2 linked regions of the Notamacropus eugenii genome follow. The protein of the gene in region 2 purifies or fractionates together with the protein of the main gene of each other region. This does not show direct contact. Links are inferred from orthologs where the notes say so. Each region holds a gene or a part of one and is shown on either strand. Other genes may lie near its edges.

Region 1 (7,531 bases), on a different chromosome or scaffold from region 2:
ATTCTCTATAGTTCCTCTGGAAAGAGCAGTTTACATACTGATTGAAAAAGCATTTTCAGAACTGGTACAACAATTTCTGCCACAGAGTCCCATCTCCCTCCTCCACACACTTTAGACAAAGTTTTTTCAGGCTTTAAAGTAAACCCAAATCATTCTAGCTGAATGCAAATTCACTTAACTAAGGAATTTCACAGTTGGTTGTTCACCTAAATTCATAAGAAATATTACTGAAAAAGAAACTAAGCTACCAGTGTCCCTGAATGTTTGGGATTTTGAGAGCAGAAAATATCTTGACAAAATAATGAGCCAAGAATTTCTTCTGTAGACCTTCTTTTGAGCCAGCAGAATTTTAAATGTCTTTGCCTCAAGTTTTACGGAGATTTTTGACCCCAGAAAGCTATTCCATGTATTTGCCAGCCCTTGTTACATAGTCTATCCCAGTGAAAATAGATGTCGCCAAAGCAGCAAAGAAATTCAGGAGAAACTTCTCACAATGCTTGTTTCCTCCTCATCCTCATCTCATTGAATGCATGGTTTGATGTACTTTCTACACCAATTGCCGAATTTAGGGGAGTGTTTTAAAGTTTTCATCATCAAAATCATAAAATCTTGTACATCTTGAAAATATCAACATCCTTAACAAAAGATTTTAAAGTATCTCAGATAAATCTCCAAATGTCACCTGAGTGATCAGAACCAAAACTCTGGGCAGATGGAACAAATTCAATCTTGGGAGTTCATGTGGAACGTTTTTTTCATTACTTTTTTCCTGAGCCTTTGCCAGTACAGCACCAGCACACTGTAGCGTCAACCTGTAGTACTCTAGTGAGACTCCTGCTAGCAACAAGGCAGGCTTAAGCTTTGAAGTTCACTGAATAATTTTAGGGTTATCTACTGACTTTGAAGAAGGCACCATTGAAAGAGTTTTGCACACTATCATGGTTGTTTCAGAGCGCAACAAATTGGGAAAGGTAATCAGGAGAGTGGATGCTGTTGGAGAGCTGAGTGAGATAGGGGATACCATGTTTCCTAGAGACATACCCAGTGTTGGGGCTATAAGGTAGTATGCTAGGTATAGTTTTATTGCATGGCACAGGTTCCTTTTTCTTCTTTGTCTTTCCATTGCTAAGACGTGAACTCTTGTCTCAGGTCTTCTTTGTTCCACTGATGAAGCTTTTATCTCAGTAGTGAATCAGGTTTGCTGCTAGTTCATATAACTGAGCTATGCCCTTGTATTTGGCCTTTATACATAAACATGAACTCTATTCCTTGGAGTGGTGCCTGTGTAATGTGCCCCTCCAGGAAGTCACATGCACTGAGAAACTAGGACACCAAAAACTCCAGAGATTTCCTGAGGGAGAGGGCAGAGAGAGGGAGAAATATTACCAAACTATTGCCAAAGATATGAAAGGACAGGATTGGCAGAAGAGGAAGCCACAAAGGGAAGGAACAACTTAAAACCTCTCTGTTGGTGCTATAAGTTTGCAACAACTATATATGTCCCTATAGAAGATAAGACTCCCCATGAGGAGTGACTGCTTGACTCAGTTCTTTTTCCAGTGGGAACAAGGGGAACCTCCAGACCAGAGGGGCACTCTTAAACACAAAATAACTCTATAGATTACTGAAGAAGATAAGGCTAACCACAGGAGGTAGTTTTCTTTACTGTGGACTTGGGGACAAGTTCTTTCTACATTTTTTTTTGTGTGTGTGTAATAAATTTGTTCTGCATTCCATGCCTTGTTACCTTAATGTTTGCAAAAGAATGGAAAACACCTTGATGAAAACTAAAATGAGCCAGATCTAGTTATTCCCAAGGAAATCCTGGGCAAGGTCGTGAACAAAAATAAGTACAATATAAGTTCCTTGAGAGCAGAGATTCTTAGGTATGTCCTTGTATACCCAGCACCTTGCACATATTATGTGTTTAGTAAGTGCCTGCTGAAGTGAAGTAAGCTGTTAAAACTCCCAAGATAGGTTGCTTGGCATAATGCACAGAGCACCTGCCTTAGAGTTGGGAAGACCTACATTCAAATCCTACCTCTGACACACACTGGTGGTATGACTGACTAAGTCACTAATCTCTCAGTGTCCCTAGTCAATTATCAAGACTATAAAATGTTGACCGAGTGCCAACACTTGCATTAGCTGAGAGAATTTCCTCATAGGGTGTTTCCTATGCCAATGAAATCACAAATCTAGTCCAAAAAAATGTAAAAAGACCAAAACTCCAAGAAAGAACACCTGGGTTACATAACTATTTCATCCAAATTCAACTGATCTCAAATAACTCCAGACACTGACCTGCCTCTCTTCACACAGCATATGATCTTTAGTATTCAAGACTACAAGAGAAATATACCACAGCACATCATCTAGTTCAAAAGGTGTACAGTATTATTTCTCTCCCAAAAGTCTTTCTATAAACAGTTAGAGTCAGATCTTTAGGAGGAACAGAAGATAACTTCTGCTGGGGAAAAGCTGCTGACATTTAATTTCTCATTCTCCTCACTGAGCTAGATTCAGGTTTCATTTTAGGTAGATAGTAAAAAAAATAACCCATGACAGGAGTGGGGCAGAAAAGAAAGAATATCAGGATTCTTAATTTGAGGTCCAATGAACTTTTAAAAAAGTTTTTCAAAATATTGATTTCCTTTATAAACCTATTTTAATATAAATATTTTTAAAACATTATTCTGCAAAAGGGGTCCATTACACAAAAAAAAGGTTAAGAGCCCCTGATCTAGAAAAACATTAGCACGTCTACTTTCCCGCCTCTTTGCCTTGGCTCTTGGCATTCCTGACTACTTACCCTTCAAAGCCTAACTCAAATCCATTCCCATGCCCCTGGTGACACCTTATTTTCTCTCTCTAATGCATACATCATGTGATCCTAAATACACTGTTGAAATATTTCTCGAAATTCTCCTTCTAGCCCCTAACCGGAGGCTAGCTTCCATGTGTCTGAGGAATAAAAGTTAAGGTTTTGTGGGGAAAAGTTTACCATCTCTCGTTTCAAATTCCGGGCCCAGAGCTAGATTCAGATTTCACCTTGGAAAAATGAGAGGCAGTGTGGTGTGATGGAAAGGTCTCTGAAAAAAACCCAGAAATAAAATGAAATTTTTTCAAAACTACTGCTTTTAGACAGAGGAAACACAAGAGCCGGCTGAACTCGGCAGGGTTCCTGCCTTGCCTGGGGGTAAAGAAAAATTAGAAAAAACACTTTTTTTCTTACAACTTCTCTGAGTAGAGACCTAAGTACCCGAGGGAGTAACCAAAGGGACACGCGGCTTGGCTCTCTTTTCCTTCCCGCATCAGAGCTTTGTGGCTGCTAATTACCCCCGCGTGCCGTGGGGCTGCGTGCCTCAACACCCACTTCAGTCGCGTTGAGTCACCCTCGGGGTGTTCTCCGAAGCAGCACCAGGACTCGCACGTGGACGCGCAAGGGAAGCCACCTCCGCGTCCCCGGCGCTGACCCCTTGACCTCAGGACGGAGGCGCCTGCGCAGTGGCAGGAAAGGCGCGCGCCACGGTTACCCCTAGAGGGGAAAGCGCGAGAGCTGAAGAAGAACCCCGGTGACCCGGTACTGGCGGCCGGGTAACGAAACCCACACCATCATGTAACGACAAACCCCACCCCCAAGAAGCGAGCCGGGGCGCCAGAAAGGCGGGGGTTGGGGGTGGAGACGGGAAGGAAAACCAACCGCCATTTTCCTCCCGCTTCGAGAACGAAACGGACACGCGCGCGCCCCGTCAATCCTCGGGACCTCCTAATACCCCCAACCCCTCCGGCTTCCGGCGGGTCTCGCGAGACTGCATGCTTCGAAATCTCGAGCCGTCTTCGTCGTGCCGTACCTTGGGGTTGCTGGTTTGGTCGAGGGGTGGGTGTGGAGAAGGGGAAGAGAGAAGACAGGGCAAGGCGGCAGACCTTGATTGACACGACCCAGCCGCTAATGGTGTGCAGACTCGAAGGGCTCACGGACCAATTGGCTGGCATGGGCGGGGGCGGAGCTTTGGGGAGGCGGGGGAGGGACGAGAAGCAGAGGCGGGCCGGAGATTGTGATTGACTCGACGTCCTGGCCAGTGGTGCGTGAGTTCGAGCGGCCCATTGGCCAATAGCTTGGGACTCTCCGCAAGGGCGGGTGTGAAAGCAGGGAAGCGAGCCGCTGGGGGAAGGCAGGAGGCCGTGATTGACAGGAAGCAAAGGCCAATGGCGCGCGGGCTCGAGCGGCCCACCAGCCAATGGGCCGGGATGGCCGGACCAGGGAAGGCGGGGCCTGGGGGGGTAGAGTGATCGCGGCGGCGGCATCGGCGTTGTTCAGTCAGAGCGAGAACATTCCAGAGGTGAGTCTGAGGTGGCTTTGGCTCCTGCCCCGCGGGGCCTCCTTACTGTAAAGCCGCTGTGGGCCTGGGCTGCCGGAAGGACTAGGGGCCCCGGGGCGGGCGGGGGGGATAGCTAGGTTGCGCTGATGCTTTTTTTTCTCGCAGGGACTGTCCCCTGCTAATGGCGCTTGGATCTCTTTCTCTGCAGGTCGCCAGGCTCCCAGGTGCCGAAGGGTGTTGCCTCCCCCCGGACGTCGCTGGGACCGCCCCCCCTTCCCCCCCGCTGGTCGGCGGCGGCACCTGGCTCGGGCCGCTCCTCCCGCTCCGCCTCCTCCTCCTCTTTCCTCCTCCTCTTCCCTTCCTCCTCCTCCACCTCCTGCTGCTGCTCGGACTCTTGCTCATACCGCGCCTCAGACACTTCATCCCAGTCCCGGGCGAGCAGCGTTGGGTTTATGTCTTTATTTGACGAAAACGGTAAGTGGAAGGCGGGCGTCGGGGCTTTGGCGGGACGGGGGCGGCGGCGGGAAGCGTGTGAGGAGGCGCCCCGGCCCTAGGGAGATGGCGGCCGCACAAAATGGCGGACCTACTTCCTCGTGACCTCCCCCCCAGTCGCGTGGCGCAGTTTACTGCGCGAACCCCCGCAAGTTGGGAGAGGAAAGGGGAAGTCCCCGGGTCGGCGGGTACGACCCCCCGCCCCCGGGAAGGGGGCGCACCCAGGCTTGTGTTTGGCGAACGGCCGGGGAGGGGGGTGGTGATCCTGGCAGCTTTGCGCATGCGCCACGCCTCCTCAAAAGCTGACTCAGTGCTTAATTGCTGCATTTATGAGTCATCCCGGCCGGCTGGGGGAGGAGACTGGCGCGGGGGAGGGGAGAGCAGAGGCGAGCTGGGCCGCGCCGCAGTACTGAAGGCCTCGCCGCCGGCCCTCGCTGGCCATTCCTTCTGGTCCTTTCTGCGGGTTGTCGCCTGTGGGTGCGGCTGCTGAGGGAAAAGGTGCCCCGATCTCGGAGATAGCTTGGGGCGAATCCCGTCTGCTTCTTAGTGTGAACAGCTCTGGGCTATCGCCTGTTAGTGCTCCGCTTCTTGATCTAGAGAGAACTTACACTTCAGGTCTTCATCAGCCTGATGTCCGTGGTTGCGTTAGGATCCAGGTAACAGTGAATGTGCAGGCACCTTTTTCAAGATAAACGGAAAATCTAGACCCGCCCTAAGCTGCTTACTTGAGTTCGTTAAGAGATTTCGTTTGGGTTTTTATGCCCTGTGTAGCAAAACGGTGACCTGTGCCTAGAATGTCCTCGTTATCTTCCTGATTTGTATTTGGAACGAGAATCTCTCCGTAAAAGTAACATAGGCTTTACACTGAGCTTAGAAATGCACTTGTATGTTTTATTTCGTAGAAATTGTTGAATAAATACCCAGTATCAGAATACTAGCTTAGACTTGTTTTCTTTATCCTGATGCGTTGAGGAAACCGGTTTGGAAAATGCAGCAAAGGTGAAATAACCTGTCAAAAATGGATACAAAGGAGAGTAGAGGGATTTAAATATCTAAAGAGACTTGATAAAAATAAAAAAAGAATAGGTATAGTTGAGGCTCTTGACTGTGGCTTTAAAAAGCAGGGGTCCCGTTATCCCCACACACACCCAAGAGAAAAGGCTATGTTGGTTTCTTGCCAACAGTTTTCTTGTGTATTCTGAATTAATCACAACATTTTATTTGGGTTTTTTAAGCCTCTTTCCCCCCACCCATCCTTTTTAGTGATTCTCTGTATACTACACTACATCATATGTAGATGTAGTTTTTTGAGACTGATAGGACAGCTTATAAATCAGCAAATGGGGGGGAGGGGTTCTTCTAGAAGTCATTAAATTTTGTTTGTTCTCTCTCACCCTACCTCCCTGTTCTGTTTCAGAGCTGTTGCGCAGCCATTGGTACCTGTATTGGGGAAATATAGCATACAAGCAAGACGCTTACAGCCTCTGTGGCAAAAACTTTTTCATGTCAGAGACCGAGAACTCTTGCAGTCGTTTATGTCATCCCTTCTTCTCCAGACAGAAGATACCAAAAAGTTGCAATCAAAGATCTCTTCATCTTATTGATAAAACTACTACTAATAAGCCAAAATGTCTGTCAACGTCAACCGCAGCGTTTCAGATCAGTTCTATCGCTACAAAATGCCCCGTCTGATTGCTAAGGTAATATTTACTGATTTAATTTTTCAGTTGGTTTGGGAGGACAGAGTATGGGTAAGTCTGAACAGCTTGGTGTTCTATAATATCTTTTGTGGGTCAAGTGGCTCTGTTAGTAGTATTTGTGTCCTTTAAATATGAAGATTAATGGTCTACATTTATAGCATGGAAATGACTATTAAACTTTGCTTTTTAGGTTGAGGGCAAAGGAAATGGAATAAAGACAGTTATAGTCAACATGGTTGACGTTGCAAAGGCGCTTAATCGGCCTCCAACGTGTAAGTAATCTTTTGAAGAAATGTGAACAAATTAAAAATGCTTGTAGTTTTTATCAATACATTTATGATCTGAAAGCTTGTGTTTTGGGCTATGGATTGAGTCATTCGAAACAATGAGAACACAGAACTAGGTTTCCATTTTCTTTGTGTTTAATTTGAACTCTTTAGTGTATGCGTGTCTGTATGTAAGCAGTATTTTTTAAAATACAGACAGCTCCTAATATGGAGTACTGGGTGGGTGGGTAGATAATAATAATGTAGTAAACAGCAGTGAAGCAAAATCTCTTAGTTCATTTACTTTTTTTCCCTCTTAAGATCCCACCAAATATTTTGGTTGTGAGCTGGGAGCACAGACCCAGTTTGATGTTAAGAATGACCGTTACATTGTCAATGGATCTCATGAGGCGAATAAGCTGCAAGACATGTTGGATGGATTCATTAAAAAATTTGTTCTCTGTCCCGAGTGTGAGAATCCTGAAACAGATCTGGTAAGGGAATTGTTTGCGCAGAAATGTATGTGTTGATGTACAGCATCAATATTAATATTATTGGGTCTTTAAAGCTAAGTACATAATCTATATGTGTAAGTATACTCTCTGATCTGAATACTGTGCTAAATTCATTTAATATTTTCTTACTGACAGCATGTCAATCCTAAGAAACAAACAATAGGTAACTCTTGCAAAGCCTGTGGCTATCGAGGCATGCTTGACACAAACCATAAACTCTGCACGTTCATTCTCAA
Region 2 (7,322 bases):
AATCAGCTGCTCAACTCCCCCAGGGGCTTTGAGTGGGAGTGGGGCCACCACTGAGGGCTGAGGTTCAGATCAGCTGCTCAATTCCATCAGAGGCTTTAAGCTGAACTACCTGGACAATAGACCTAGGCTGCTTCAGCATAGCCTCCTGCCACCTGCTGCCCCTGCTGCCTAGGGCCAGTGCTGAGGGAACCCCACTCCCCTCTCACCCAGCTGGGAAAGCCCTCCCACCTGACCGTTGGAGCTTTCTTTGTTGCTTGTGGGTTGAGGGATCTGGGACCCTCCCTGCTGGGTATTCTGGCCCGGGAGGTCTGTTCAGGTCCTGTTCCTCCCAATGCTGCACAGCCAGGGCTGGGCTGGGCTCTGCTCAGTGTCCCATGAGATAGACCTTTCCTGTTGGCCTTTCAGGTTACCGGTAGCTGGAAACCTCTTTCACTCTGTTGTTCTGTGGCTTCTGTTGCTTTAGAATTTGAGAGTCATTTTTTTACATGTATTTTGTGGGCTGTGGGGGAAATGCTAGAGTATATGTATCTTTCTACCCCGCCATCTTGGCTCTGCCTCCTCACCTTTGTAGAAACTTTAAAAAATGTTGATAGCCACTACCAACCACTGAGCTATAAACTGAGGCTCACCCATCACTGGCACATAACCCTATTGCTTTAGAGGATGGTCTAAGCTGGTATCAGGTTTGTTTCATATATAGAAACAGAATGAACACTAATTCATTGTTGGTGGAGCTGCGAGCACATCCAACCATTCTGGAGAGCTATTTGGAACTATGCCCAAAGGGCTACAAAAATGTGCATACCCTTTGACCCAGCAATATCGCTACTAGGACTATATCCCCAAGATATCATAAAAATGGGAAAGGGTCCCACATGTACAAAAATATTTATAGCAGCACTCTATGTAGTTGCCAAAAACTGGAAGTCAAGGGGATGTCCATCAATTGGGGAATGGCTGAATAAATTATGGTATATGAATGTAATGGAGTACTATTGTGCCATAAGAAATGATGAACAAGAAGACTTCAGAGAGGCCTGGAAGGACTTATATGACCTGATGCTGAGTGAAAGGAGCAGAACCAGGAGAACTTTGTGCACAGCAACGACCACAGTGTGCGAGAGTTTTTTCTGGTAGACTTGGAATTTTGTAATAATGCAAAAACTTCTTATAAAAAAAAAAAATCCCAAAGGTGGTTCTCAAGGCAAAATGCCTTCCACACTCAGAGAAAGAAATATGGAAGTCATTCGCAAAATGTAGCAGATCATGTTTGTGTATGTGTATGTGTCTGTGTATCATGTTTTGATTTGTTATGATTTCTTTCATTTATTTTAGTCTGACTACATAGCATGACTATAGTGAAAATATACTCAATAGGAAAGTATATGTAGAACCTATACAGAATTGTATGCAGTCGTGGGGAGGGAGGGGGGTAGTGGGGGGTAGGTGTGGGGGGGATAAAATCTCAATTGTATGGCAGTGATTGTTAAACATTAAAAAATAAAAAAAATTAAAAAAAAAAAAAGAAACAGAATGCTATTTTGAAGCCCCAGGGTCAGATTTCCCCACCTCTGAAGCTTATTAGCTATAACCCTGGGTCTTGGGTAATTCCCCCTGGACTTAAGAGAGGAAAGTCAGACTAGTTTTGATCCCCTTTACAGAAGGGAGCTCCCACACTGCCACTGGCCAAAACCCCATCCTTTTGTCTTTGTGCGAATTACAATGATCCATCTCCCAATGGAGATCCCCATCCCAGGACATTGTCTCCACAAATTTGTTGCAGTAAAGTGGTGATCCTGCTTTTGGCCATTGTGTTACAGGAAGGAGATATGTCAGTTTTATTTTTCTCTAGTGTAAGTTCATGCTTTTTAAAGAAAGCAAAACTTGGGGACTGATAGCATGGATTCTTGTGTCCACAGGGTCGAGTGATTCACCCAGAACAGCACCGACTAGTGAGTGTGCGGGAGTGTGCCCGGTCCCAAGGATTCCTAGATTCCTACAGATTCGTTGGCAGTACCTTAGAAAAACACAAACAGGTGAGTGTTAACTTCCTATAGTTATTTTAATTCGACGGGGAACACATTTCTGAGACTATTATTAGGACTATAGTCCTAATGACTATGGTTCATTAGGAACTATCAGGTTTTACTTAGTACAATTGACACTTTAACAAAATGAAGTATCTTCTTGCCAAGTGAATATCAGATACAAACTGCATTTGGCTCTCCCACCAGGAGGCAGGAGGTGGCCTTGAGGCCTCTAAGCATATAAGACCCACTTAAAGAGACTGGGGAATGGAATGAGAATTCTACATTGGAGTAAAATAGCACCCTGATTCAAATCCTCTGAGTCCTGGTCGGTGCTGCTGTCGCCCGATAGAGTGCTGAAAGCCAAGATGTTCACAGGGATCTTTCTAGGCACAGGATCCTATTGCACAACACCAAATTCTGTCCCCCTTTCCCATGCAGGTGGGGAATGCAGTGCCTCCACCCCTGGCCAAAGCCATTGGCCTGGAGATCAAGCTCTGTGTGTTGGCCAAACTGAAAGAGAAAGCCACAGGTAGGTATGGCTAGAGGACTTTCTAATGTGTGGAAAATGGATTGTGTGCTATTATATTTTAGGGGTGGCATGGGGTAGCTCAGCTATCCCTTTTTCCTCCTCTCATTGTTCATTGAGTCTAGGCAGACTATAGGTCATGGAAGGGAAATCACTTGGGAGAGCCCTCTTCTGGGTGTGCTTCCTTTACTAAATTCCAAACACTTACCCTTCAAGGTCTAAGACAGCAACTGTTATGTGGAGGAGAACTCTAGGCTCTATTTTGTCTTCTAGAGAGAGAAGTGTGTGTGTGACATTTGCAGATACTTCATAGGATTGTTATTTAACCCAAAACATTTAAAATCTCAACTTTGGCAGTTATAATACTACGTTGTCCCTTCCTATTCAAACTTAAATTTGTCTTTCATTTGTTTCTCTTCAGTTAAAATCACAGAAGAGGTATGAGGGACAGAGCTATCATGGACTACTCTTCTTAACGAGCCAAACTTTTTATTCCGTTGTACTCATGAAGCATCTACCTCCTTTGCTGACATTGAGCTGTTTTTAATGATCAAACTGTTAAACTATGAAATTGTAAGGTGATTTTATAGAGTCTAGATTTTAAAACTATTTGAATTGTCTATTAAATGTAATGTCGAGTGACTGAAATGTTTTTGCAGCTTTTATATACATTATAATAAATATTTTTAAATAATCAAGTATCTTTCCTGACTCTTACGTACCTCAAAACTATTTCTGAAATTGCTCCAGTTTTTCTCTGGCACATTAGGACTTCTGATTCAGCAGCTTGCCACAGCTTAAAATGTTTTCATTTGGAGAATGAGGTCTCCTTGTCAGAGGCATCCTCTGTTATGAAAAGACAACACGAAGATTTCTTGGTCAAAGGAAGGCAAGCTGTTTCTAGTTCTAAAGGGGCCAGGATGGCAGTTATGTCACTGTAGACATCTCAATTCCTGCTAAAACACTGGAGTTCAGCACTGTATCAAGTCACTTGATTTCTGAATACAAGTGGCGGATCCAGGATCCAAACCTCAGAACCTCAGGTTTTTTTGTTTTGGTTTGTTTGGTTTTGTTTTTTGGCTCCTTACCTAATCCCGTCTTCACTCTATCCATTGGCTTCTCCAGGTTTAGAGAGCCAGCTAGGTGGTCCAGTGAACAGAGTTCTGGGCCTGGAGCCAGGAAGGCTACGGTTCAAATCCAGCCCCACACACTTGCTAGTTGTGTGACCCGGGACAAGTCCCTCGACCTGTGCTTGCCTCGGTTTCCCCAACTGTAAAATTGGGATAGTAGCGTCCTCCTCCCAAGGTTGGTGTGAGGCTCAAATGAGATCTGTGATCGATCATCCCGGTGCCTGGCATACAGTAGGCACTTCATAAATGCCTCTCTTCTTCCTTCAAGTGCACAGCTTCTATGCCAGCTGAATTCCTTGTATCTCTCAATAGGAAGCGAACACACCGCACTCCGTCCCGCTGTCTGACCCCTCCCTATCCCCTTATTTACCATTGCAGAAGCCTCCCCCCCCACCCCCAACTATGCCTGTTTGCTCCATCTGGGGAAATGTGGGGGGGGGCCTGCTCCCCGCTGCCGTGTAGAGCAAAGTCCTCTGGTGCCTTTAGCTTTCCCACAAAGCCCGAGGCTTCGGAGCACTCCATCCCTCCGCTTTTGTAGGGGAAAGAATCGTAGGATGGGGGCGGGGTGAGGGAAAGGAAGGGGGACACGCAGGGCAGAGCAGGGAGAGCAGGGCCGGAAGGAGAGAAGCCTCCTCCACCAGGGGGCGCCGTGACGACGGAAGCGCCCGGCGGCGCTCCAGCAGAGGCGGCGGAAGTAGATGTTAGAATCCATTTCCGCTTCCGGTCTTTGGCCCGGGCTCCGGCTGCGTGGAAGATCCCAGACGATGCCGACTGGAGACTTTGAGTGAGGAAGCTGGGGCCGGTTCGGGGGACCTGGGGGTTGCGGATGACGAGGCTGGGGGCGGGAGGGCGGAGGGGGCTCTCTCAGGCCCGGGGCCGGAGCGGGAGCGGGGAGCTGATGGTGTCCCCGGCGCCTGGGCCGAGCCGAGGCCTGGACGGCAGCTCGGAGCGGGGCGAAGGGATCCCGGGGCGCCGGGGCGCGGCTTCCCTGAAAGGCGCTTTCCTCCCGCAGCTCGAAGCCCAGCTGGGCCGACCAGGTGGAAGAAGAAGGAGACGATGGTGAGTCCGGCCCTGCTGACCAGAGGCCGCCTGGCCGTCCCTTCCCCACCCCCCCTCACTCTGGCATTTCCCCTCCTCCTCCTTCCCTCCGGCCTGCCTCCCAGGGTCTAGCCTGATCTCTGCCCCTTCCCTGCAGACAAGTGTGTCACCAGTGAGCTCCTCAAGGGGATTCCATTGAGCACAGGAGAGCCCAACAGTGAGCCAGAGCTGCTACCGGGTGGTGAGTACGGCAGCCGAGAGAGGCAGAGAGGGTGTCTGTCTGCCTGTCTGTCTGGCTCCCTGCGGGGAGCGCAGGCTTTTGTCATGTTTGGGTCTCTCTCCATCTGTTCCTTTCCTGGGCTGTTTCCTCCCCAGCTCCTCTCCCTGCCCCCAAGGAAGTCATCAACGGGAATATTAAAACCATCACTGAATATAAAGTGGAAGAAGATGGCAAGAAGTTCAAGGTGGGCTACGCTGGTTTCTGTATCTTTTCTTGTCTGGCCTTTGGGTCAGGTTTGGGGACCCCATGAATGAAAAAAAGCCATTTGTTGAATGTTCTCAGCCCCGAGAATGCAAGTACAACAGGGATACAATTCTTGTCCTCAAGGTTCTCTTAATATGGGAGACCACACATATAGGGCAATGGCATCATATCTACCTTGCTAAAGGAGCGTTTTGAAGCGTTTAAGAAGTTACAGGATTGCTGTTTGAAGTCATTGGGGAGTTAATGACATATATTCTATTAGTGACGAAAGTATTGTTTCAAAGGAAGAGGTAGAATGCAGGAGTACTAGGTACCTAGTAGGGTGGTGGATCCTCCCAGTTCATGTGTGAGATTTACTGCTCACTAAAAGGATTTTTCCCCACTCCTCTCCTTTCTTGTGCATTTTCCAGATTGTCCGTACCTTCAGGATTGAAACTCGAAAGGCATCAAAGGCTGTTGCAAGAAGAAAGGTGAGAGCCATTTTGGGGTTGGACAGTGTATCTTTTCTTATCTTTTTCTTCAAGGCCCTTCTTGATGTTCTTTTGCATTACCTTATCATGGAATAGAACAGCCTGATCAAGTGGAAGGAGTTCTAGACTGGGAGTCAGGAGAGGTCTAATCCTGATTCTGACACTTAGAGCAGCTGTGTATTCTTGGGCATTTAACTTTTTTGAACTTTAGTTTCTTCATCTTTAAAATGGTCATAATACAGCTCCATCTAACTCACAGAACTGTGAGAAAATTCTTTACAACCTTAAAAATCTACATAAATGTGAGTAGTTGGACCTAATGATTTTACATGTCCTCTTAAGCTAGGAATAGTGAGGAGGCCTGCAACTTTATTGGTAGTTCTGGGTCATGTATAAACAAGGAATTTTTCTTGGAATTGGAAAAAAATTTAGGGAACAGTAACGAAAGTAAGGGAATATATAAAAGGAATAGGCATGAGAATGGATGCAGAATATGAATATTTTTCCACCTTGGAAAGATGAGAGCTATGAGTAGGCTGGATCCAAGGCTAAAATAGTTGGGGATGGAAGAACTTAAAAGCAGTCAGACTTAGAAGACAAGAATAGCCCACGGTAGGGATAATTTTGTAAACTTGTTGCCCCAAAAGTAAGTACTAAATCCATTTCAGTTCCATAGATTTTTGTTAATTACTTTTCACTCAACAAACAAGCCAATTGATAATATATCTCCTTATTTATTCCTTTAATATTTTAAGATTAACAACATGCTTTCCTCACCTCACTTCCTTCCATTTGAAAGGACTGTTTTGTTGAGGAAGGATTAGACTTGGTTTTCTGCAGGGAGGGGAGGAGAGGGACAGGAGCAGTGTATGGAAGTGGCAGAAAGGAAGATCTTGGTTCCATTTGAACTTCTCCATGTGGGCTGCCTCAGGAGGCCAAAAGTTTCTCATGACTGGAAATCAGTGACAGTTTAGGGATATAGTTTTTGTTTTGTTACATTCTAGAAGCACATTCTTCTTGACAGCTTTCTACTTCTTAAACTCCCCTGGGGAGAATTCCCAACCTGCTTTGTGATCTGTTACTCCAATCTGTCTGGTCCTATTCTAACCCTTTCCCATCCACAGAACTGGAAGAAATTTGGCAACTCACAGTTTGATCCCCCTGGTCCAAATGTGGCCACCACTACAGTCAGCGATGATGTTTCTATGACATTTATTACCAGCAAAGAGGTAATTCATGAGTACAGGATTTAGGGAGGAGGTCCTGAGGGTGGGGTGGGTAGGAGGCTCCCCCGAAGGCCAAAGCATTTCCAATCTCAACCTCTTTTCTCCCCAGGACCTGAATTGCCAAGAGGAGGAGGACCCAATGAACAAGCTGAAGGGGCAGAAGATTGTGTCATGTCGAATTTGCAAGGGTGACCACTGGACAACACGGTGTCCCTACAAAGACACACTGGGACCTATGCAGAAGGAATTGGCTGAACAGCTGGGGCTGTCCACTGGGGAGAAGGAGAAGATGCCTGGAGGTTCGGAGGTGGCACCTGGGTTGGGGGCATGTGGGTGTGTCTCTGTAGGACTTTCCATTGTGATAGCTTGTGTGACCTTGTGAATGTCTCTGTTTTGGGGCCGTGGAAGTTTGGCCCTG

What was found. The genes of interacting proteins can lie anywhere in the genome.
Region 1: the proteins of EIF3G (region 2) and EIF5 purify together in Homo sapiens (affinity purification with western blotting; 3 studies listed by BioGRID and IntAct, with this or other methods). This does not show direct contact. The link is inferred for Notamacropus eugenii from reciprocal best matches to the Homo sapiens genes EIF3G and EIF5.

The regions. Positions count from the first base shown.
Region 1 is NC_092872.1:349,845,601-349,853,131, reverse strand, and holds the start of EIF5 (eukaryotic translation initiation factor 5), read left to right. Parts: upstream 1-4,530; 5' UTR 4,531-4,796; intron 4,797-4,962; exon of another isoform or gene 4,963-5,470; intron 5,471-6,231; 5' UTR 6,232-6,442; coding exon 6,443-6,514; intron 6,515-6,704; coding exon 6,705-6,786; intron 6,787-7,101; coding exon 7,102-7,274; intron 7,275-7,430; coding exon 7,431-7,531.
Region 2 is NC_092875.1:80,027,560-80,034,881, forward strand, and holds the start of EIF3G (eukaryotic translation initiation factor 3 subunit G), read left to right. Parts: upstream 1-4,315; 5' UTR 4,316-4,384; coding exon 4,385-4,470; intron 4,471-4,698; coding exon 4,699-4,745; intron 4,746-4,881; coding exon 4,882-4,965; intron 4,966-5,099; coding exon 5,100-5,188; intron 5,189-5,618; coding exon 5,619-5,678; intron 5,679-6,802; coding exon 6,803-6,907; intron 6,908-7,013; coding exon 7,014-7,203; intron 7,204-7,322. Other genes in the region: DNA (cytosine-5)-methyltransferase 1-like, read left to right, coding at 1,920-2,036, 2,469-2,559, 2,978-3,000. UniProt on the Homo sapiens protein: RNA-binding component of the eukaryotic translation initiation factor 3 (eIF-3) complex, which is required for several steps in the initiation of protein synthesis.